Sus scrofa: one gene and its partner. The protein of the gene in region 1 purifies or fractionates together with the protein of each later gene. This does not show direct contact. Links are inferred from orthologs where the notes say so. Each region holds a gene or a part of one and is shown on either strand. Other genes may lie near its edges.

Region 1 (3,758 bases):
AGTGTAGTAAAATTAGCAAATACTAAACTATATTGATAATTTATCATTCTTAGTTTGTGGTTTTTAGAAACAGTACACGCACCTAATATATGTTGATTCCTTGGCTTATTAGTTGCAGTGTACAATGCAACAAAATACAAAATACATGCTTGGTGAACATTCGTTTGTATCTACAAGACGGCAGCTAAAGATTAGGTTTCAATACTGACATTTAACTATCCTACTAGCAATTAGCATTACATCATAATATGCCATCAAGGCAATTTTTTATACTGAAAAAATCAAAATAAAAACCGTTATTTGTAAACTTTTATACGAAATGTAACTCTTCAAGTGGAAATAAAAAATAAAATTTGTCTATTTACTATTCAATACACATAGGATTTCAATTTTTGTTATACTGAGAAAAAAAGCTCTTTTGTGTTGGGAAAATAACGCTTCAAAAAATAATTAGTAGAAAAACCCACCAGTACAATGTTTTGTCCATTCAATGCCAGCACAGATTTGGGAACATACTGAGGATGAAGTCACAGACATCCACAGGTGAAATGTAAAAGTGTATCTTAAATAAATCTTTCCTGTGATTGGAAATAGTTTTGAAATGAAGTAAACTGATTGGAGGTCGTCACAGCTGCTTTTGTGAATTATGTTAAGGGCATTATTACCCCTCTCTCCCCCCTCCCCAAAATTACTAAAAAATAAAAATATATTTATAATGTGCAAGACAAATATGGATTGAACATAAAATGTTTCACATTTTGATCTAGAGTCTAAAAATTAATCAATAGCTTGATCAGACTAATGAATGGAATGTTCACATCCTCGATTAGCCAATATAGGTGCATCCCAAAGCCCTTCCTGCAATGGAAAAACCCAGGTGGCCATTTCCATATTCACCGAGGGAGGCAATGGGTAGGAATTCACAATCGACACAATTGCATTCCTGATCCACTGATCACACCAGCCGTGAGCACTCTGGGCGAGATGAAGGTCAATGTAGCAGTTTTTGTCCCAAATTATAACCAGTGATTGAGTAAACTGCCATCAGCCCTATTATTACCAATAATTAATCACAATGCATTAAAAAGTTACTTGCAATCCTGCAGAATTAGGCATAAGTTGTTGTAAAATAAAAAACAAACAAACCTGTTTTGTCAAAACTGGCAGTGTAAAGAAGGCAGCACTGGAAGTGTCTGAATCATCTGTAATGCCAAGTACCCTCCATAAACTCTTAATGTGGTTAGGCTTTGGGACCCATCGTTTTGAAATCTTAGACGTATACACTTTTCTCATAGGGTCACACAACCTATGATTATCTTCACTCAGCCGAGTTGAACGTCAGCTTTAGCAATTCTTACACAAGCTATGTCTCTGCGTCTACAAGATAGTATTAATAATTCAAACCAAACTAATAGACAAGAGACCACTTAGGTTTAGTGTTACCATAGCAGCCTTTTATAAGTTTACTAACAACTTTAGCCTAATCCCAATAAAGCCTGATAACAGTCATAAGAATTCATTAGGAAGTTTACTGGGGGTACCATTATACCCATGCCTTTACGAGTCCATATAGATATAGTATTTATGTATATATATATAGTTAAGAGTGAATTTGGATTGCCTGAGTAACAGCTGTCTGGCAAACTGGACATGATGGCGTTCTCTTTTCACAGATCTTGTTGGCACATTCCATGCAGAAGAGGTTGTGGCCACATGGAACTAGGGCAGCAATAACTTCATTCTCAAAGCAAATCACACAGTCGTGCTTTCGTCTTGATTCTGGAGGTGAGCTAGAGGTGGAGCCACCATTGGAAGAGGAGTAACTATTGGTACCATTAGAAAAAGCAGGGATGTATATTGGAAGGCCAACATGGTTGCCTGTACTAGGTGGGTCGCTCCTAACCCTCCGAGCAAGTGGGTGTTCAATGCTCTCAGGAAATGTAGGAGACAGACGAGGAGTTGATGGCTGACTTCCTCTACGCTGAGTCTTCATGTTACCAGGAGGATCACTCCCAAAGCCAGAGAGTGGATTAACTGGTTCAAACGGAGTCCAGATAGTTTGAGTGGGTGTTGGTAAAGAGTCAAAGGCAGGAGAATCAACCGCGAGATCTTCTGAGCCTACAGAAGGTAGTGTATCTCCAAACCAAAAGTTTCCTGTGCTAAATGGGCTTGTTGGACTAAAGTCAGCCAGCCTATTGCTTCCAAAGTAGGAATCTGTGGAACCACTTCCCAGAGAACTGGAACTATCGTTTCGATAATTGGATATCATTCTGGCGCGGCTGGGAGGAACTGGATTGGAGGAAAGCCATGCAGAGCCAAGAGTGCCACCTTCAAAGCTTACATCAGTACCGTTATAATGGAAATCATTCTCTTCATTGAGCTCAATGTAGTTTCCTGTACGCATGGCAATATGCATTTCTATTTCTTCTCGTGCTCGGTCAACATTCTCGGGCATCCCTGTCACTTCAAAGACAGGTTCCTTATCTCTGCTCGGTGTTACTATGTAGGTGTGGGTCTGCTGCTGAATTCTTTTAATAGTTGCTCCTTTGGGTCCAACTACTAATCCTACCACACGATAGGGGACCCTGACTTGAACGGTGGTTTGACCGGGCAGATTAGGACTACATGACAACCCTCCCAGGGCCGGGCCATTTTTGTTTCGAGATGCACGAATCATGGAGAAGTGCTCTGCAGCTGAGAGGATTTCTCTTTTGGCCATGGCAACATCTTCTTTCCGCCCAGTGACAACAAAAATGGGCTCTTCACCACGAACAGGCGTCTTGATGTACGTGTTCGTCTTGGCTCTCAGCGCTTTAATTTTACAACCTGTTAGAAAGAAAAGATTTCATTAGAATCAACACCTACTTCAACAATATTGATAAAGGCAAATCAGAGAGAGATCCTTTTAACCTAAGAGTCTGCAGTTTTCCCCCTTTTAGAGTTTTTTTTCTTTATTAGAAAAACTTATCACTATATAATAAAACTTTCCTAACTTCACTAAGACGCCTAGATCCTGAACTACACCCTTCTGGGGATCCCTCTACTAGAGGTTTTAAACTAAGAGGATTATTGTTTTCTCTCTCTCGTTATTAACCATTGCAAATGATGCAGGAATACTCTATATAGGATAGCTACACTATGAGTGGGCTGACTTTCAGAATACTAACAGTTTACTACCTTGCAGGGTGTTGGTGGCAAAGAAAAACCGGTAACGTGTATGTGAGACATTTAATATCTATTGTCTTATTTAACCTACACAACAACCCTAAGAATGAGACTACTGCACTCCTTTTATTGCTAAGGAAAATGAAGTACAGAAAAAAATGTATATAACTTGTCCAAGTTCACACAGCTAGTAAAAGGCACATCCAGAGTTAAATCTAGTCTGACTTTAAAAGTTATAGTGTTTTGTTAGTTCAAGAACCTCCAATTTCACACAACTACACTATATGATAAAAGTTCTTCAACTGATTCCCACTTAATTGTCTTATCATTTTACCTTATCATTACCTTTCCCTCTGTACAGTTCAACTGATGATAAGAGCAAAGTGCTCAAGGCTAGTAGATTGTCTCACTTCTGTTCATCAGCTGGATTTCCGGCTTATTAAAAATCAGCTCTTTCTCCCCAAATCTGTTTATACTAACTGTACTCATGTGCTAAATTATTACATGAACCAGTAACATATGAATGCAAAAAGACACTGAACTAGTATGAAAATTATTTTTAGAAATTTCAATAAAGGATGAGTAAAGAAAAA
Region 2 (5,030 bases), on another chromosome or scaffold:
CGCTCTGGCCTCTTGGCTGACCCTGGCCACCCTGTGTCGTCCTTTCTTGTCATCAAGGCTCAGCCTGCTCTTCCTTTTCTCCTCCCCTCCTCCCTCCCTCTCTATCTCTCTCTTCCTTTGCCCTCTTGCTGCCTCTCTGGGATTGGCTGCCCGCCACGCCTGTCTTCTCTTGTCTGCTCTGGGATTGGATGGCCCAGCGAGCTGGAGCCGCCTGCCCCTGAGAGCCCCATGGCTTTGCTGGCTGACCCAGCTCCAGCTGCTGAGTAAGGGGTGGCCTCAGGGGGTTGGGGGGCAGACTCTTGTGTCCCCAGGGAGGGTTAGGGGACCGGGAGCGCTGGTCACGGGGTTCCTGATGCCTTGTGGAGGCAAGACTTGGAGGGGAGTGATAATCGGGGCCCTCTGGTACAGGGGGTCGGGGGTGATGGCACCTGCCAGGGTCCTGTTCCCATTGCCAGTCTGACTTTGGGGCTCTTGGGAGAATCTGGGCATATGGATTCTGGGATTCTGTCCCTTCAGGACCTGCTATTATCCCACCACTAGCTCTGGGCCTTTACCTCTAGCCCCCCTGCCCCCCGGCCCCCTCCCATCTCCCTCCTCTCCCACCTGCAGCCCAGGTCCTGAGGACATCGGCCCGCCCATCCCGGAAGCCGATGAACTGCTGAATAAGTGAGTCGTGGGCGAGGTTGGAGAGGGCAGTGGGGACAAGAGGGGAGCACAAAGCAGGGTTCAGGGGGGCACTCGTCATCCCGAGCCCCCACCGCCCCCACCCAGGTTCGTGTGCAGGAACAACGGGGTCCTGTTTGAGAACCAGCTGCTGCAGATCGGCGTCAAGTCTGAGTTCCGGCAGAACTTGGGTGCGTCCAGGGAGGGATGGGGTAGGGTTTCGGGGAGACCTTGGCCTGGGGAGGGGGTGGAAAGAACTCAGATGGAGCCCTCCCCCGCCCCACCCCTCACAGGCCGCATGTATCTCTTCTACGGCAACAAGACTTCGGTGCAGTTCCAGAACTTCTCGCCCACTGTCGTCCACCCCGGAGACCTCCAGGCTCATATCCTCTTGGTCTGGCCTGGTTCCCTGGTTCCAGACCCCTGTTGGGCCCTCTTCCTCCAGAGCCTGAGTACATGGTACTTCTCTGAGATCTGGTGTTATCTGTCAGGTGGGGCGGGCCTCTCTCCCGGGACAGGAGGCGACCGTGATGTGATGTGATAGGGATGCGGGAGGTGTTGCTTCCGGAACCCCCTGACCACGTCCCATGGCTCCACACCCATGATCCCAGCCCTTCCTGCCCTGGCTAGCCAGGCCTGGGGGTCTTGATGCTGACCAGGGCCTTCTCCTGTGTGCCCTGGGCCAGTCCCTTGGCCTCTCTGAGCCTTGCTATCCCTTCTGTGAAGTGTGGATTCTCCTCTTCTTTCTCCCAGGCTTGTTTTGAAGATCGGTGTGGTTGGAAAGCCCTGGCAGGGTGGCTGTCGTAAAGGAAGCGCTTGAGCAGTCAGCCCCCTCTCTCCCATCCTCTGGTGCTCAGTTCCCACAGCTGGAAAACTAGTGGATAGTGCCCCCAATCCAAGGACATTTTCCGTTTGTTTAATTCATCAACGTTTCCAGGGAGTTCCCGTCGTGGCTCAGCGGAAACAAATCTGACTAGTATTTTTGAGGACACAGGTTCAATCCCTGGCCTCGCTCAGTGGGTTAAGGATCTGGCATTGCTGTGGCTGTGGCGTAGGCCAGCAGCTGTGGCTCCAATTCACCCCCCAGCCTGGGAACCTCCATATGCCTCGGGTGGCCCTAAAAAGACAAAAAAAAAAAAATTTCCGTATGGCCCCTGTAGGCTCAGCTCTGTGCTGGATGGGGAGTCAGGGACACCCTTGCCTTTGGGTTGTTGACATAAAGGCAGAGGGTGATAACTACCACTATTTCTGTGGACTTACCACGTGCCAAACACACTGACAAGCACTCATGCTGGATTATTTCATTGAATGCTGGGGACACTGAATTCATTTTGCAGATGAGGCTAAGATAGGTTAAGTGACTTGCCCACGGTCACCAAGGTGGTAAGAGCTGGGCTTCAAACCCGGGTCAGCCTTTAGAGCCACAGAGGATCTCCAGTTGCACTACGGGCGTGACCTCTGCAGAAACGGAGGCGTCTGAGCCCAATATGGAAAGTCAGAGGAGGCACCTAGGGGGGTGGGTCCCTGGTTTGGTGTGGAGCCGGGCCTTGGAGGATGAGACCGGGACGGCAGGGTAGGGACTCTCAGAGGCCTGCAGGCTGGGGCTGAGTGTTCTGAACGATTATGGCGAAGACCCCGTCCCGTGCCGCTTCTGGCTTCCTTGACCACCGGCACAGCTGGCCGTGCAGACCAAGCGGGTGGCCTCGCAGGTGGACGGCGGGGCTCAGGTGCAGCAGGTGCTCAACATCGAGTGTCTGCGGGACTTCCTGACGCCCCCGCTCCTGTCCGTGCGCTTCCGGTGAGTCGGGAGTCGGGGCGCTGGCTGGTGGGCGGGGCTTTCCGGGCGAGGGCGTGGTCTAACCCGAGGCCGCTCTCCCCGCGTCTCCCCGCAGGTATGGGGGCGCCCCCCAGTCCCTCACCCTGAAGCTCCCGGTGACCATCAACAAGTTCTTCCAGCCGACGGAGATGGCGGCCCAGGACTTCTTCCAGCGTTGGAAGCAGCTGAGCCTGTGAGCCACGGGCGGCGGGGCCGGGGGGCCAGGGCCGGGGCCGCCCTCGGGGAGGGGCAGGGCGGGGGCTTCCGATCCCCGACCTGAACCTTTCCCGGCCCCCAGACCCCAACAGGAGGCGCAGAAAATCTTCAAAGCCAACCACCCCATGGACGCGGAGGTCACTAAGGCCAAGGTGAGCCAGGCAAGACAGGAGAGGCCCTGCTGGGCTCACACCCCAGCCCCACCTCTCTCAAGGTCTGGGATTTGGGGAGTGGCGGCCGCTCAGCTTCTCTGAGCTTCTGTTTCCCCAGGAGGGTCTGGGGGGATTTGGTGTGTCACTGTCTGGGAGCTAACAAAGCCCGGGCACCCTCTGACGGCCACCCACTTCCTCCCCAGCTCCTGGGGTTTGGCTCTGCGCTCCTGGACAACGTGGATCCCAACCCTGAGAACTTCGTGGGGGCTGGGATCATCCAGACTAAAGCCCTGCAGGTGGGCTGTCTGCTGCGGCTGGAGCCCAACGCCCAGGCTCAGGTGCGTGGTGGTCTGGGAGGCCCCTGCTATGTTCTCTGCACCCCGTCCTCCTGCCTCACTCTGTCCTTTAAGTCATGTGTCCCCGTGCCCCTCCTGTCTCTCCATCCTCCCTGATTTGCATCTCCCCACAGCCTCTCCACTCTTCTTGACCTCTTATCTTTCATCCTGTACCTCCTGTCACCCCGGTCCTTTATGTCACCTTTCTGATCCCTTTATCCTTTTTCTCTCATCATTTATCTGCCCTGTATCCCCCTCTTCCTCCTCCTCTTGGGGGAGGAGCTACCTGCACCATCCCTCTGCCACCTCCCTGAGTCCCACTGTCCCCACCAGATGTACCGGCTGACCCTGCGCACCAGCAAGGAGCCCGTCTCCCGTCACCTGTGTGAGCTGCTGGCCCAGCAGTTCTGAGCCCTGGACTGTGCCCCCGGAGATGTGGCCGGTGCCGGGCAGCCCCCAGGACTGAGGCAGCTGTGGTGGATGGGGCAGTAAGGGGACCTCCGCTGGTGACAGGGAAGACCCTGGGGTGGGGGGATGCCTAGGACCTTCCTCTGGCCTTTTGTATTTTTATTTTTGTTCATCTGCTGCTGTTTACATTCTGGGGGGTAAGGGGGAGCCCCCTTCCTCCCTTCCCCCCCCCCCGAAGCACAGAGGGGAGAGGGGCCAGGGAAGTGGGCACCTCCTCCCCTCCCACCCCACCCCCCGGTAGCCCCTCCTGCCCCCTCCCCATCCAGGGGCTGTGTATTATTGTGAGCGAATAAACAGAGAGACGCTAATAGCCCCGTGTGCGTGTCTGTGTCTGGCGCTCAGAGGAGCGGGGTGAGGGCATGCAGGGTGTGGGTGGCCAGGCCCCGAAGCCCGTGCGTGGGACTCTGAGCAGACAGCAGCAGCAGCAGCCGCCGTGGCCCCAACTGCAGGGCCACCAGCCGCCATCCGATGCCCGGCTCCTCAGGCCCCGACACCAGGTAGCAGGCTCTCGGCACCTGGGCCCGGTGGACCGCCTCCTCCACCTTCTCTGGCTGCCCGGGCTCTGAAGGAAAGACAGGGAGGGCTGGGGTGACCAGTGGGGCCTGGACCCCTAGGATGCCAACCTGCGTGGGAGTCTCCCCCATCTTGGGCCCAAGTTTGACTCCTGACAGAGGGGAGCCCCACAGCTCCAGCTGGCTGTCAGGACCTAAGAGGTCACGGACTTTCTGCCCTCTTCCTACCCAGCCTCCGTCCCCCACTTTCCTGGCGATCCTGTGTATGCAAGCGCCAGGCGATCCCCTTGGCAATACAGATCACGGATGCGCAGGAGATGTTTCTCTGGTGACAGGCACCAGGCTCCAAGCCCTGGTAACCCTCCTGAGGACCCGGCCCAACTACACTTGGGAAGTGGTGGGGTAGGTGGAGTCGCACAGCCCAGTGCTTTTCACCATTTTGTTACATTCATCAGAGTCCCCTCTGGGGCTGAGTTTCCGCTCTAGTTCCCTTCCTGCGTCTCACTGGGCCTCACAGGTTCTAGGCGACAACTTTTCCATCAGGACCTGGGCTCTGTGGACTCTCCTACCCTTCCTCCACCCAAGACTCTCAGCAGACCCTGTACTTTCAGAGTAGACTGTGTGGATGTGGGAGCCAGGCCGCCTGGGTTTGAATCGTGGCTCTACTGCTAATTAGCTGAGCCTGCTTCCTTGTCTGCAATACGGGAATGATGATTAAAAGGAGACTGATTATTGATTAATGAGGATGAAGCGAGGCAATACACAGAAAAGCACTTGGCAGGAGATGAGGTCTCAGCGTTAAATCAGGATAACCCAACCTACAGGCTGGGACCTCCCAGCTCCTCCCCTGCCCAATTCCTACCGGCTT

What was found.
Region 2: the proteins of MEX3C (region 1) and AP2A1 purify together in Homo sapiens (affinity purification with mass spectrometry; 3 studies listed by BioGRID, with this or other methods). This does not show direct contact. The link is inferred for Sus scrofa from reciprocal best matches to the Homo sapiens genes MEX3C and AP2A1.

The regions. Positions count from the first base shown.
Region 1 is NC_010443.5:100,676,857-100,680,614, forward strand, and holds the end of MEX3C (RNA-binding E3 ubiquitin-protein ligase MEX3C), read right to left. Parts: intron 2,827-3,758; coding exon 1,601-2,826; 3' UTR 1,596-1,600; downstream 1-1,595. UniProt on the Homo sapiens protein: E3 ubiquitin ligase responsible for the post-transcriptional regulation of common HLA-A allotypes. Binds to the 3' UTR of HLA-A2 mRNA, and regulates its levels by promoting mRNA decay.
Region 2 is NC_010448.4:54,819,949-54,824,978, forward strand, and holds the end of AP2A1 (AP-2 complex subunit alpha-1), read left to right. Parts: intron 1-197; coding exon 198-263; intron 264-609; coding exon 610-666; intron 667-771; coding exon 772-854; intron 855-956; coding exon 957-1,046; intron 1,047-2,337; coding exon 2,338-2,461; intron 2,462-2,555; coding exon 2,556-2,672; intron 2,673-2,777; coding exon 2,778-2,847; intron 2,848-3,050; coding exon 3,051-3,185; intron 3,186-3,515; coding exon 3,516-3,593; 3' UTR 3,594-3,958; downstream 3,959-5,030. Other genes in the region: FUZ (protein fuzzy homolog), read right to left, coding at 3,989-4,212.